Struthio camelus: one gene and its partner. The protein of the gene in region 1 purifies or fractionates together with the protein of each later gene. This does not show direct contact. Links are inferred from orthologs where the notes say so. Each region holds a gene or a part of one and is shown on either strand. Other genes may lie near its edges.

Region 1 (7,348 bases):
ACATGATACTGCTACAAATTGGCAGATACTTCAAAAGGGCAGGGTCTGCTTTTGTTTTGAGAACAGGGTTTTGGAGCAACAAATACTGGCTCAGCACAAGACAGTAATCAAGTGCACACTACTGACTATGTTTTGGATGCATATGTACAGATCGAAAACATTTTATTATTAAGCATTAAGCATGTGTCACAATTAATCAAATCCCAACTTCACATAAGCCCAAAGTGTACCAAGAAGGAAACTGGATAACCTTGTTTTATTAATGTAGTGCTAGTCCAAAGTAATTGAAACATTTTCACTGTACTTATCCTGTAGGCACATGGATCGTATCTCTCCCCCATGGGTAAGCAGAGGATCAGACATTTTGGCAGAGGTTTTCCTCTGAACGTACAGATCAGCAAGATGGCAGAGGTGAGCTGAAAGGGGAGAAAAGGGATATCCCTTATTCCTTCCTTCCTCACCTACAGACCTGAGATGGGGATAAACTGCATAGACATCCATTCTGACAGAGATTCCCTTTTCCACTAGGCAGAAACGTAACCGTTTACACATAAGGTAACTATATTTCAGCAAGGCTTACCTCTGTGGAATAAGTGGCAACGCAAAGATGCTAGCGGACATCCTTCGGAATGCGTTTGGAGGATAAGCAATTTATATGCCTTGAGAAGAGCTAGGCACTGATCTGCACCAAAATCTTGAGGGAACAAAAAATACCATAGACTCAGTATGTGCAGCATGTGCACACTGATACCACTTTTGAATGCTACTAGAGAAAAAGGGAAGGGGAGCAATGAATCTGACAAAGGGCAATCTCCTGTACTGTCACAAACATGCTCAGTGAGGTAAAAACATACGTAGTGCAACGTATCTTCTAACAGAAGAAAAACAAATACATGAATATGAAGAGGCCATTTGAAGGGCTGTTAATCACAGTAGATATAGATGCACAAGTACAAGATGTTGCAGTGAGATGGACAACAGGATCTCCACCTCTGCTGGTAGATGGACGAACTACAGAATTTCTTAGTGTTTTTACACCAAAATGGAGCAAGACAGAAGTAGCACTGCACAAGGCTGTAGGTTTCATGATTTTGAATATTCTGAAATAGAAATTTCTGTATGCTACAAACTGTACACGTTCCTCCCATAATGTCTTTGATAATCCAAACAGTGACAAAACAGTGATTAAACACAAGCAAGACTAGAAATATCCCGGAAGTCGGATGCAAGACAAAATTTTAAAAATCAATCAAAAAGCGTGCCTATCACAAGCCGGAAGTTGAGTTTGCTGTTCTCCACCAAGACAAAAGGAGGCTTATCGTTAATCTGTAAAACTTGTTGAAGAAAAGCTTGCCATGAATGCTGGGGCTAAAGCCAGAACCGAATCAAAAGTAAGAGACCCTCAAGTGGCTTTGAGTAGAGCCCCTAAACAGACGAGACCTAACTTCAAATTATGAGATGTCCTCTTTGTTACAATGGAACTGAATCAAGATTCAACAAACATAATTTTCTATAGTGACATACTTTGTTTGAATAAGATTTAGCAGGATCGCAGAAAGGTCAAATCTCATCAGTCAGGGATAGCAGCTACAAGCTACTTTGGCCCAGGCTTTGCTAGTACAATTACATGTGAAAACACTGCTATTATCAAAGGCTATCTCATGGGGAGGCAGACACACATTATTTTGCACACACTGTCCATGCACATCCAAAGCTAAAGGAAAGCTGTACATGCAGTGGATGTTTAGATCACCAGTGCCCAACACTGCTCAGCTTATGAAATGCAGTTGGAATCTTCTCCTGCCAAATCACTTATCAAGTTAATAACATATTCACATGCCAAAAAGATGTGCAAGCAAAAGACGAATGATAAAAAAGGAGATACAATGGAAGATCATTTCAATAAAAATTGAAGGAAAAAGGAGAAATTAAAATTTAATTTGAAATATAAATCTACTGCCCAACAAATGCCCGACAGCGCACCTAACATGGTTTTATCATGAGAAAATATTGTTGAGGCTTTTAACATTTAAACAATAAATGCCATTTTACTTCTTTTCTTGTATTAACTTGTATTGACAAGTAAATGTACGTAACTTGTATGTTATAATGCAAGAGCGTATTTTCTATGGGTGGAAGAACGGCGCTGTGAGAAACACAATTATCACTAAGCATAACTTAGGAAAATGTTATTCTGTATGAAAGTAGCCACAAGCAACTGCAAAAAAAGTATCTTTATACTGCTGGCTTGGGTGATAGCAGCAGCTGAAATTACTGAGTTTGGCTCACTGAATGTTTTGGAGTGTTGGGAGGGGAGCACCAATATCCTGTGTGAGAGCCCCGTGGCACGGAAACAAGGGGAGTGAGTGTGGCAGTCTGAAATCGGATCATCTTTCTGGCTCAAGACTGCCTTCCACAGAATCCAGAGGAAACTGCAGGAAGAAAACTTTGGGGGTTTTCACTATCCTCTACAGGTAATTGTGTCTAGGAATATGCTTTGGCCCTCTATTAAGACCACATCAGTAGACAAAAGTCAAGAAATGCTAAAGTTATGAGTTGGACAGGACAGCATCAATCACAAATATTCAGTGATGAAAAAAGCTCCAGATGATCTTACAAACCTCAATACTTCAAAAATAAAAGTAACAAAAAACAGTAATTCAGTAGACAAGGTATTCAGGTTAGTTCATCAGGGCTTAACTCTGGTTTTAAATATTTGTTAATTCATTTACTGAATCATTCATTGCCTTATTTTATTCATTAATTAGTATCTTGTCACTTTTTTAACTTGACTTCTCTGTGTACAACACATCTGACAGGGATATTACAGTCTCTTGCAATGTTCATTAAGAGTCTCTAAAGAAGAAAATTTTCATAATGTGATAAAAGCATCACCAAACAATGATGAACCAGCTTGTTAATTTAATTTCTTGTGTGCTCTTTATTTATTCACTTGACATTACTAGAGACTTTGCACATGTTCCACATATAAGTTGTCATTAAATGTTTTTTCCGCAGGCTTTACATGCCTAATTAGTGTTTCTTTTTGAAAATCATTAGCCACTCCTCCATACCAGTGCTTTCAACTTTTCCCACAGAGCGACCTTATTTTCCAAGAACTTCCTTCCCATTGGTACACAGCATGTCATCCCTGTTCAGGAAAAAAAAAAAAAAAAACAGGATGCAATAACCTTGTATTAAATAGGCACAGCATTATTCATCTGCTTAAATTCAAAGACAACCTGTGTATTGCCTGGGGCCACAGCTTTAAAATACAAAAACAAATGTCCATGCTGTTGTTAAGGGCATGACTGCTATTGGATCCTGATTACTGTAGCAAAATAATATACAGCTGAAAATGGTAAACAAGTTTCCAGTTGAAGCCAATTTCTTTGGAAAGTGGATAGAGCTTTTCTAGAGGCTACAGCCTGCTACGCTCTGTGCCTTCAGGTAAGTCAGAAGCAATTGCAGTTTAGAACGAAACTTCTAGCAAACGTGTTCAGTCTCAGAAAGTCTTTGGAGATAAAGGTCACCCCGAAGAAGTGTATCAAAGCCCAAACTTTCTATACTTTAAGAATGGTTTATTTGGACTATTTGCTCAGTCATTTCTGCTTTTCACTACTAAAAAAGCACAAACGTTGTTATCGACAATAACAAATAAAAGACGTTTGTGGGACAAGAAGCAACAGGATTTTCCATACAGTTAAAGCCCTGTAAAGTAAGATTTATTAGCAAATAACTTACAGGGCTGCTAACGGGGCAATGTCTGTGGAGCTCAGAAATCACCCCCCCGAATTTTGCTCGCACACGCTTCTCTCCGCCTTAACCCTGGAGGGGTCAGCTGTCAACACGGTACGTTCACGTTAAACACAAGAAATACCTGCTTGCAAAAATAATTAAGAGTAGAAAGCAACCCTGCCTCTCGCTACCCACTGAAGGCGTGCGGTCCCAATCCGCCGCAGCATTTGCTGCCTTTCTGGGTTCTTCACCATCAGCTGCGGACGATGAAACCGTTGCAGCATGTCGCCGCACCTTCCTCGCGACCGCCGCCTCTGCTTCCCTGCAGGTCAGGCCGCGGCCCCGGGGATCGGCGCATCCCTCGCATCCCAGTCACTGCCGCTGCCCGCACACCGCTCACCTCCGCCAGCCGACCCCGCCGAGAAGCCTTCGCTCCTCCGGGCGGCAAGGACCGGAGCGGAGCGGCCCCGCCGGGCCCACACCCTCCCACCCCACCAACGGCCCCCCCGCCGCCGCCAACGGCTGCCGGGGTCACGTGCCCTCCACCGCCCCCACCGGCCCCTGTCCGCCCGCGCATGCGCCCTGCAGAGGCCGTCGGGCGGCCGGGAAGTCGGCGACCGTTTCCGGGTTGGGCGGCCGGCGCCGGGAAGGGGGCGGCGGCTGCGGCTTCGGCTGCGCTGCGACCACCGCCACGACCACCAGCACCATGTCGTGCACCCTCGTCCCCTTCGGCCACTTCCAGGACCTGGAGGCGGCTCGCGACTTCCTGTGCCCGCACCGCCGCCAGGGCAGCGCCGCGGCCGGCCGGGAGAGCGGTGAGTCCGCGCCGGGCTGAGGGGCAGCTGGTGTCGGCCCGGCCCGCCGGGCCGTGCGGGAGGGCGGCGGGGGCGAGGCGGCCCCCGGCGCGTCCCGGGGCGGCGCGGGAGGGGAGGGGAGGCGGCCGCGGGCGGCCGAGCGGCGTTGCCGTGCTGCGGCGGTGACGGGCGCCTGGCGCCAGGGCCGAGCGGTAGCGCAGCGGTTCTCCCTGCTCCCAGGGAGCTTCTGGTGGACGCCTGCCCTCAGGTGCGGGCCGTCGTCCTGCAGGCCGCGGGGGAAGGTCTTTGCCGGCGCGGAGCCTGTGTGCCGCAAGTTCTGCAGTTTTGCTCCTTAAAGGGCTGCAGTTTCTCTGAGGGGCTCCTGTCACAGTCAACAAGTGTTGCCCGCGTAGGCTTGTCTGACGGTGTAAAAGGCACTGCGAGTAAGGTGAACGTTTAGTTCGGGGGCCTGAAAAGTAAATTCGCCTCATGAGAACTGCAGTCTGAAGTTGAGGAGCAGGTTTCTGAGCAGGAAGCTGAGCTGTCTGGAGCAGAGGCTGTCTTCTGGACAGAAGAGAAGGACAGGCAGATCCATACACAGGCCGGACGCTGCAGGGCAATGAGTCACTGCCCTGCCTCTTGTTCGTGCAATGTGAAATTAACTGTATAGGCCAATATTTGCTTTTTTTGTTTGTTCTTTTTTTTTTTTTTTGGCAACTGTGTGGTAAATAAAGAGTTTGGTAGAGGCCCGTGGAGGTGCTTATAAAGACCTGTCAAGTATTAACAGTGCTGTGAGAGAAAGCAGAGAGGCTTACTTAAAGGGTGGATAGGAAAGAGGGGGAAATGGTGCAACGGTTGTGAAGGTGATGTAAAAATACACTTTATGTTCTGCTAGTTAACTTTACCAGTAAAAGTTTTGCATGAATATTACTATAACGTGTTTTATTGTTGTTTTCTTCTTGTGTTCAAGGTTGAAATCGATTTACTTTGTTGTTGAAATGCACTTGGAAGAAAGTAACTTCAGAAGAAGTTTATACAGTCAGATTTCATTGTCATACCTTAGATTATCCAAAACTTTTGCTAGAAAACAGTTATGTGCTACTTTGGTACATGTTGTTTTACTCCTGTAATGCTCTGAAAAATGCGTGCACTCTTGGTATCGTCTAAATCTAAAGGAGAGGTTTTGGAACCATTTTAGAAATTGTTAGTGTTTGTTGAACATTGAAGATAAAGGTGAAAGATGGTAACCCACATTTGTTTTCCAAAAATATGTGCGGAAGAAATTAAAATATTTCTCTCTCATTTGGCAGTGTACATGAGAATAGTCTGTGTTAAGTAACTTCTGCTGAATACTTTTCTTCTGTCAAAGTAGATCTATCAAATGGCAGCTGTAAAGAGAGAAAACTTTTAAAGTTTTGGAAGACTTCCAAAAACGAGAGGAGCAAAGAATGTTCTAAAATGTGCTGTTCTTCAATTTTAATGAGTTGGCTGTGTTCTGGAGTAGTTTTATATTTACTCATTCAGTCATTGAGGCAGACCAGTGTTGGAATCAAGTATTTTTCAAAACACTGCTCATTTGGGTATTTTCAAATCTTTCAGATTTATATGTTGTAATTTATTGATACTGCATGTGTGTGTTTTGTTGATACTGCAGGTATTTTCTTGGTTCAGGATAAATAAGCATAAATGTGAGTGAAAAAGAGTTCCCAAAGCGACTTTTATATAAGAATATAAACTACTGATGTTGAAGAAGAAATTGCTAGTGCATTCATCTTTGACAGGGAGAAACACTTCCAAAACTTATCTCTTATCTTAAGATACCTTCACAAGTTGCAACAGTATCTTTTAGTTAGGGGGGGAAAAAAAGAATTTGACTGCATGGGACGTTAAATCCTTTTCCTGTCACGCTTGTTTCGCCAAGTCTGCGTTGCTGCTACTTTGCTGCCTAACGAACTGAATAGTTAAGCTGCAGGGTTGTTTGGAACATCATTACGTTAAACTGAGCTGGTATAGATACTGCAGCCGTTGCTTGCCTTTTGGTCTTGAACTCCAAGCTGATTCAATTTAGGAAAACACAAGGAATGATCTAAATCTTAGAGGATCTGCTTTCTCTTGATGTAAATGAGAGTATGAAAAGCTGCTAGCTGATGATGCGTGTCAGGAGTTGCTGCTCTGGTTCATTAAGTTTTTCATTCTTTCTTCCTTTATTCTTTTCATCTACATATTATCCTCTTCACTTTTCTTATTAGTAAGCATCTGACTTCTTGCATAGCAGTCTAAAAATTGCTTTGTTTTGTCTTTAGTGATAATTGTATACTTTGGCTCTTACATTGTTCACGTGAAAGAACTCTTTGCTGGAAATAAAGAGTAACGGGAAGTTTGAGAACACAAAAGAATCCTCTGCCTCTAATGTTGTGCACCAGGAAAAGAAAACAAAACATTGTCCCAAGCAATAAAAAAAAAAAATGCATGTTGATATAACCAGAGCAAAGGCAAAGATTTTTAAACTAACAACATCTAAATAATTGTTTCCTATCAGAAAGCTTTATAAAAACTGCTCCCTTGGCAGAATGTATTGTTTTAAAATGATATTTTAATAAAATTTTACATTGGAAAACTTGGACTTTTATCTACATTTTTACTCTTTAAGGGAAAAAGTAGAGAGGAGTTTGCTTATATGTTTAACGGAAAATAGCTCACTTGCAATCACATACAGCTTCTATACTGTACTTACATAATTGCTTATATGTGAATAAATATAGCTTAATAAACACCAAAATTGTAATGAACCTACTCTTTTTGTTAAAAAAAAAAAA
Region 2 (7,807 bases), on another chromosome or scaffold:
ATTTAAAGAAAAAAAAAAAAAGAAAATAAGATATCCCATGTTCATGTAACAACAACCAACAAGATGTGTAACTGAAAGATGTATAACTGATTTTCATAGAATCACTTTTCATCAGGGTTAGTTTCAAACTACAGCTGTAGCTTTCCACCCAGGGGCTATGCATACAACCCTTCACATTTGAAGATCACAGTATTATCTCAGAATTTGCCACGCTCCATTTCCTATTCAAACACCAGCGCTGTATCAATCTTTCCTAAGAGTGCCATTCTGCAGTGTAGTGCATTATAATATCCCAGATCATTTTGGTAATAATACAAAAGCCTGAGAATTAGGTCAAAAGAACATGATGTCAACTCTATTTACATTTTAAATAAGCTTCATCACAATAAAAAAACATGGCACATGCTTGTAACAGCAAATCCAGGCTGATCACTTTTTGTGCATCACGGTACTTTCTCTAAGTTTCGGTTACTGTAAGAAGCAAGTGATACATGTTACACAGCTACATCATTTGCACAGAATCTTAATAAAATTCTTCTCCTCTTAACCAAACCTCCTTGCATCAGCACCACAAGTTAACAACCCTCACACACGTGTACTTCTAATGCAAATATGACTGCCGTAACCTAGTTTGGCGTGTGAAAGGAAAGTTAGCGCGAGTGTCAACAGAAGCAAAGATTTGGTAGCAGAGGCTTTGGCAGAAACTTTCAAACCAAAGAGGCATAATCCTCTGCAGACTTGCACGTGCACATACTACTACTATATCTTCAGTATTAACTGCTTATGTTAGTTGGGCACAGTCCCACGGCCACGTTAGCCTTGCAGCAGTCTGTCTTGCTCTCATCCCCATCGTTTACCTGTGCTACTTGCACTGTGCTTGTCGAGCTGACAGACAGTCAGGTTATGGAACTGCTTAGGCTGAAAATTAATCCAGTAACAAGAAAGGGTGAGGAGGGGGTGGCAGCGGGAAAGAGAAAAAGGAAAATCAGTTTCCAGGCAGACCGTGCAGCACTCAGAAAACAGCATCAGGAAAACTGCATCTTCCTGCACTACAGACTTCTGCCAAATTAAGGCAATGAGATCTCACATTTAGTAAGCTAAAGCTGGCATGTCTAGGTGTACGCACTGCAGTCACACTTTTCCTTGCCATGCTGACAGGTCTGTTCAAAGTAATTAAGGCACGTGCCTAACTCTCTGTGTCTGAATCCAATGCAAATTCTCATCTGCTTAAAGCTGGGCATCCCCTAAACAATTTACTGAACCGGTGCCTTTCAGAGCAAATGTGCTGCAGTAGCACTCGATACAATCTATTCACTGAAGTGATGTTAAACTGGCAATCATTTTGATTAACAAGGCTAAGAATAAATTCTCAGGAAGTTGCCCAAGTTATTCCCAGAATGTTTTAGATGCATTTTCATCACCTTTCCCCAGACAACAATTTTTGCACTCCAACTCAGTAACACAGACATATATCCAAAGGCAAGGTAATTGGTAAAGGCAGAAATACAACCAGTGCTTCTGCTGAGGCAATCCCTCTTGCTCCTTTGTGGAAAGTAGCAGAAAGCAAGAATAGGAGGAGAAAGACTTATTTCACCACTGTCTAATCCTGTCCACGTGTCAGACGGAAGTCATTAATCACCTGGCATATACTGGTCAGCCACAGAAAAGTAACCACGGAGCCTTCAATAGGTGGAGATTAGGAGAGGGGGAAACCTAAATTGTTTTGTAGCTATTCTCAAGAGCCCAAATCCTACTTATTAGCAAGATGTGTCCTGACTGCTGAAAGTCCACATGGACCAACAATTCATTCATCCACCGGAAGAGTCAGGTTTACTATGTGCATGCATCTGGGGGTGGAAGTACAGGAGGTGAATATGACACTTCCCTTTCCCGTCACAGACCTGCTGCTGGCCGCAGGGCATGGAAATGCCTCCCCAGCAGCTTCCTCAGCCCCTCACACTGGGATGGGAACTTACTGCAGAGCCTGAGTAAGCATTAGCACCCCCAATGAAACAAACATCCAAAAGCTCAGGCATGCCTCCATCTGCATGTTTCAGCCTTTCTACTTAGAGTCCTTCTTACCATCGCACCTCAGTTGTTTCTCAGTTTCCTTATTACGCCTCTGACAGTATCTGAAGTCACCTTACTGTTTTGTTTCCACGTTTTTCTCCCATTTTATCTATGTGGGACTGTATCAGCAACAGAGATAGTCGAAATAAAAACACTGATGGCAAAACCAAAGACTGTCAAGAGAGCTCAATACTAGGTGCGTAACCCGACTTACTTTAAAGTCATATATAAAGTTGATGACCTTTAAAAATAAACACTGAAGTGAAAAAAGCTGAAATGTCAAGCAAGACGTTTTGAGCTGTCAGCCAGGTGCCTGCGAATCAAGAACATCTAAGATCCAATCAAATTCTCCCACCATCTTACTTGTCTTTAAACAAATCACTTAAGGGCTTGATCTTCTGCTATTAAAAGCCTTAAGAGTTGACAGCGACTCCAAACAGAAGCAGGTTTGGACCCTTATAGTTTCTCTCCCTGTGAAGTCAGGAGAATACTTACCTAATTACAGAGAATCTTGTGAAGATTAGTGTTTTAAAAAGCACTGAATGCCAAGTTTTAATCATCATCATCATCTGACTCTGGAGACCTTTCTAATTAAGTGAGCATCAGCAACTTTTGAAATCAAAGTCGTCGAAGAATGAAAAACAAGAAGTGCCTCTGTTGCATAAACATCTTATTTCAAAAGTAACTTACTGAAAGGATCCAACAATCCCAATTTGTGAACTACTTTTAAGAAAAACTCAGGCAGTTCTTAATTCCTGTGTAAACCATTCCTGTGTAAACCCTTTCAATCTCGGCCCAGATTTCACATACAAGCACCTAGAAAACTGTGCCCTTGTGGGATCATTTTCTTTACTCTTACCATGACTATCCTCACCCAAAGGAGCCCTTGAAGTGAAGTGGAAGGGACGGGAAATGGTCATTTTCACTTTTGCTGTGCCAAGCAGTAGAAACCTTGATGAAAAAATTATTACAAAAATTAAAATACCATCCAAATCGCTCCCCGTGCATTAGTTTATGCCAAGGATTATTTTTTAAAAATTATCTAATTGATAAAATAATCCCAGACTGAAAAAGAAAACAGAGAAAAACAACTATACTACATGTTCCACATGCCAAACTTGGAGCAGGGTTTACAGTTTGTAAATTATTCCATTTGGATGGATTAATCAGTGTCCTTCTCCGGCCTGTTTTGGCACAACCTGTTTTTGCCAGAGCATGTCTCATGCTTAATGGGGGGGAAAAAAAATGACACAAACACAAATATGAGACTGAAGACTATTTTCAGGATATCAATTAGTATATAATGTTTGTCACCTTCTACATCTTCAGAAGAGGATTATTAACTGTTTGACTTCGCAGTTTTAAGAACTATGAAGCCATACATAAGCTTGCCAAGAGAAAGGAAAGAACACGCCCTTCAAGTAATTTTTGTAAAAGGCTCATTTGCTTGTGCTGATTTCTTCAGAATTTTATTACATCCTACGATTATTTACAGATATTGTAAGCAACAAAAGCACGCAAGCAGAAATATCTTTTTCTGCATCCTAAACTTCAGAGAGATTTATTTCTGCATACAATGGAATAAACAAGGGACTGACAGAAGAATTGGCTACCTTTCAGAGGTATATCTCTGTCTCAACAGTGCTTTCACATCCTGAGTCCCAAACACACCACATTACATTGCTCATTCCATCCGCAAATATGATCTATACCACCTCTCTCCAGGTATGAAAAAGAAAATAGTGGCATACTCTCTTTTGACAGCGGAACAGTTACTACAATGTCATGGTTATTGAAAGAGAGGCAACAGTGATACCTGCTTATTCTACATAGCCAGAAGCCTCACTCAAATGGGCTGGCGGATGTTGAAAGGATACTGAAACTGAGTCCCACACCTACACCGTTTTACAATTTGTGTTGTAAGTAACTGGATCACCAGGCAAACCTCCCCCTTCTCTATTTTTTCCACCCCTCGTTGTGGAAACCAACCAAGAAAAGAGGATTAAATTTAGAACGATGAAATCTTTAATCCATAGCATGATGGCAGGAGGCACTTCATTTGCAGCTGAGAGAACTAGTCACTAAAGGAATTTAGTAAAGAGATTATTTTCATAAAGCACTTCTAATAACGTGAGATAAAGTACTGCAGGCTGCAGCAAGACCCAATCTATAAAAAATTTTTTGAGGCCAGATGAATTAGAGTTGAGGTAGGCAATTTTCAGAGCAGTTAAAACGCAGGAAGGACAGACTCAGCCAACTGAGTCTGGAGTGTCTTGCTAGTGTAAACAGTCAGACACTCCTATCCATGTGCATTTTACTCCTACACTGAATTAAACACGGAAATGGTGATTTGCTTTACAGGCATTTTCAATGGCAGCAAAACTGTGACAGCTGTTTCAGACTGATGGCACAAACTGCCCTCTGCGACAAGGTTGCCCAGCAGGCCACGTTTCCAAACTCAGCAGTAGTCCAGGCATATCAGAAAATATCCTATATGCCTTCTGCAGACAAACCGTTTCCATTTCGGTCTACAAGGCAACGGTATGAAAGGATTTATATATTTAATAAATATTGGGTCAAAAGCCCTCTGGCAGATTTGGCATGAGTCTGGCCCTTACTTTAGACAAACTGGTACGTAAATCCTGGTATACAAACACAAAAGAGGCTGCTTTTCTGCCCTGGTTATCACGTGGAAAGACAACGAAGGGAGGCCTCAGCGCTTCTTATTGCGGGAACTGTCTTCACAGTGCAGGACTTCCTCCTTCAGAGAGGAGAGAAGTTGAATTGGGAAAGAGTCCTTAATCTAACCATATTGTCACTTAAATCAACGAGAATTTACTCGGAGAAAAAAATGGCTTCTAGCAGCACGATGATAATGGGAAAGATCATACTCCCTACAAAAACAAAGATGAAATGTCAGTCTGAAACAACAGCTGTTACCACAAGCAAAACTGTTACAAACATCATCAATAAAGCTTTCAAAGCCAACCAACTGCACTGACAGAAAAAGTAAAAAGGCTGTTATTGTACCGACTAGTACAACTGACAGAGTTGCTTTCTATAGTTATTAATTGTCGCCAGCAGGGAGCAAACACAAGACCAATATGGTAACAAGAGAGTGAAAAATGAGTGCGACTGTAAGATGTGGGCAGAATTAGCAAGGGTCATTTGATCCCTGCATTGTCCCCAGCTAAGCAAAAAGCTGTGTTTAGAGGCATTCTGAAAGCAAGAAAGAGAAAGTCTCAGGTCACCTAGCTTCTACAAAAATGACACTGCAACATATGTAGAAGTTGCTCATTTGACACAAAACTCATCTGATGCAATACCTGCCAGGGCTGGATGCATACAAATCAAGCTGCTTTTAAAAATGGATATTTATTCATAGATGTAGGCTGCCCTAAGGTTGGACAGTTGGATCATTCACTATGGTGATTATGCCATATTTCCAGTTGAGTTTCAAAGCAGATCTGACAATCCATTCAAAGATTCACACTGCAATTTTTACTACAATCCAGGCCTAATTCTGAATATGGCACAACTAAACAAAATTCAAGCTGATGTTCAAACGTAGCTAACCTATTTAAAATGAAATCAAGCGTTCCTGCACAGCCACTGTTGATAAATTTTTCATTTATAAAATCTGTGGAGTGAGGAAAAAAAGAAATGTGATTTCCAGTGAGAAGGAACTACCAGAAAACTCCTGTGCAAATCTGTACTCCTCATCGCTCTTTCACAAGTGACACGACACTGCACAGAGCATGCACGGTAACAATGTGTACACAGTTAATTGCTAAGCATCTGTGTGAACTGCATCTGCTATGATGCTTTACCTGTGTCATCATTCTGACATGATGGCCCCATTCCTCGAGCTTATGGCAGCCACCTTGTACCTTGTGTTTCCATACACATTTTCAATATAGTCTGTTCCCGGATATATTTTCTGGAGAGATGAACAGAAGACAGACCCCACCACCCAAATCAGACAGGCATTCTGCCACCTTGGTGGACTTTAAATAATAAGCTCAGAAAACTGGTTTTTGCACATCACAGAATCACAGAATGGTTGAGGTTGGAAAGGGACCTCTGGGGATCATCTAGTCCAACCCCCCTGCTCAAGCAGCATATCTCCCAGGATCATGTCCAGGTGGGTTCTGAATATCTCCAGCAAAGGAGACTCCACTACCTCTCTGGGCAACCTGTTCCAATGCTCTGTCACCCTCACAGTGAAGAAGTTTTTTCTCAGGTTCAGGTGGAACTTCCTGTGGTTCAGTTTCTGCCCGTTGCCTCTTGTCCTGTTGCTGGGCCTCATCCTCTTGACACTCCCCCTTCAGATACTTGTACACGTTGATGAGATCCCCTCTCAGTCTTCTCTTCTCCAGGCTGAACAGGCCCAGCTCTCGCAGCCTTTCCTCAGAGGAGAGATGCTCCAGTCCCCTCAGCATCTTCGTAGCCCTCCGCTGGACTCCCTCCAGTAGCCCCATGTCTCTCTTGTACTGGGGAGCCCAGAACTGGACACAGTACTCCAGGTGAGGCCTCCCCAGGGCTGAGGAGAGGGGCAGGATCACCTCCCTCCACCTGCTGGCAACACTCTGCCTAACACACCCCAGGATCCCATGGGCCTTCTTAGCCACAAGGGCACACTGCTGGCTCATGCTTAACTTGTTGTCCACCAGGACTCCCAGGTCCTTTTCTGCAGAGTGTGATTGTAATGGTTCCATAGCTCAAACTGAGCAAGTGTTTCCACCTTAAACACCTCTTTTAAAAGAGGGGTTAAGATTTTAATATTAAAAATTCAGTTAGTTGAAAATTGGCACACAAACTCCAGAATCCTAAGGAACTGCAGATTCTGAATGTATGTGCCCCATATAATAAAGGCAAATAGTTGATCATATTGAAAGCACAAAATTCCACAAAACTAGGAGAAGCAACTGCCCGCTACCTTCAAATGATCGCTGTTCATGCTGATCTTACCACTGCATTAGGATCTTCCTCGAAATAGTAATACTTTGATCCCATTAATGCTCATTACTTCAACTGCATTACTTCTTAGAATCTTTGCAGTACAAAATGCTCCAACAGCCCTTAACCTGTAAATGACATTTGCTGAAGCCATCAAATGGACTGTGAGATTTTGGAAATGGTCTCAGGAGACCTAAACACATTTAACAGAAAAAGTGCATAAACCTTCTGGGCTGCTTTACGCATTTCAAGTAATGTTTGTTTAACTCTAACCAAAGACATATCCTATTCAAAGTTTCAAATTTGTGCTACCCGCATAGCTGCGATTTCTCCCACCTCGCCCAATGAAGCTGTTAGTATCTATAGCGTACAGAACACCAATACATTAGAGAAACTCAACAGACGCATAACCTTCAACTTTCCTTTGACTTACTCCCACCTTCCCCCCTCACCACCAAAGAGTGTCATATGACATTTACAGTGCACCAGCGCATCAACATCTTGCCTTTACCTTCAGTTCTTTTCCTCTGAATGCTGCTCCTTTAAAGTTAAGTTGGAGTCTACAGAGAGTGATGAGTTACTTATAAAGGTAACACTAACGATGCACTTGAAATTAGAATAATTCAATGAGACACAGCAAGTCTGCGCAACTATAACGGGCACTTAATAGCTAGAATAAGCTATTGATTTTACCTGAGTTGCAAGAATAGCTAGTATAACATGAACTTTAAATATTTAAAGTGTCATCAGCAAATGATTAATTGTGTTTGATATTTGG

The links. Proteins that work in one complex are often made in the same cells at the same time.
Region 2: the proteins of RAB3GAP2 (region 1) and VAPB purify together in Homo sapiens (affinity purification with mass spectrometry; 4 studies listed by BioGRID and IntAct, counting the BioPlex papers as one, with this or other methods). This does not show direct contact. The link is inferred for Struthio camelus from reciprocal best matches to the Homo sapiens genes RAB3GAP2 and VAPB.

Annotation. Positions count from the first base shown.
Region 1 is NC_090944.1:117,734,703-117,742,050, reverse strand, and holds the start of RAB3GAP2 (rab3 GTPase-activating protein non-catalytic subunit), read left to right. Parts: upstream 1-4,331; 5' UTR 4,332-4,444; coding exon 4,445-4,553; intron 4,554-7,348. UniProt on the Homo sapiens protein: Regulatory subunit of the Rab3 GTPase-activating (Rab3GAP) complex composed of RAB3GAP1 and RAB3GAP2, which has GTPase-activating protein (GAP) activity towards various Rab3 subfamily members (RAB3A, RAB3B, RAB3C and RAB3D), RAB5A and RAB43, and guanine nucleotide exchange factor (GEF) activity towards RAB18.
Region 2 is NC_090959.1:13,524,038-13,531,844, reverse strand, and holds the start of VAPB (vesicle-associated membrane protein-associated protein B/C), read right to left. Parts: upstream 3,017-7,807; 5' UTR 2,991-3,016; coding exon 2,930-2,990; intron 1-2,929. UniProt on the Homo sapiens protein: Endoplasmic reticulum (ER)-anchored protein that mediates the formation of contact sites between the ER and endosomes via interaction with FFAT motif-containing proteins such as STARD3 or WDR44.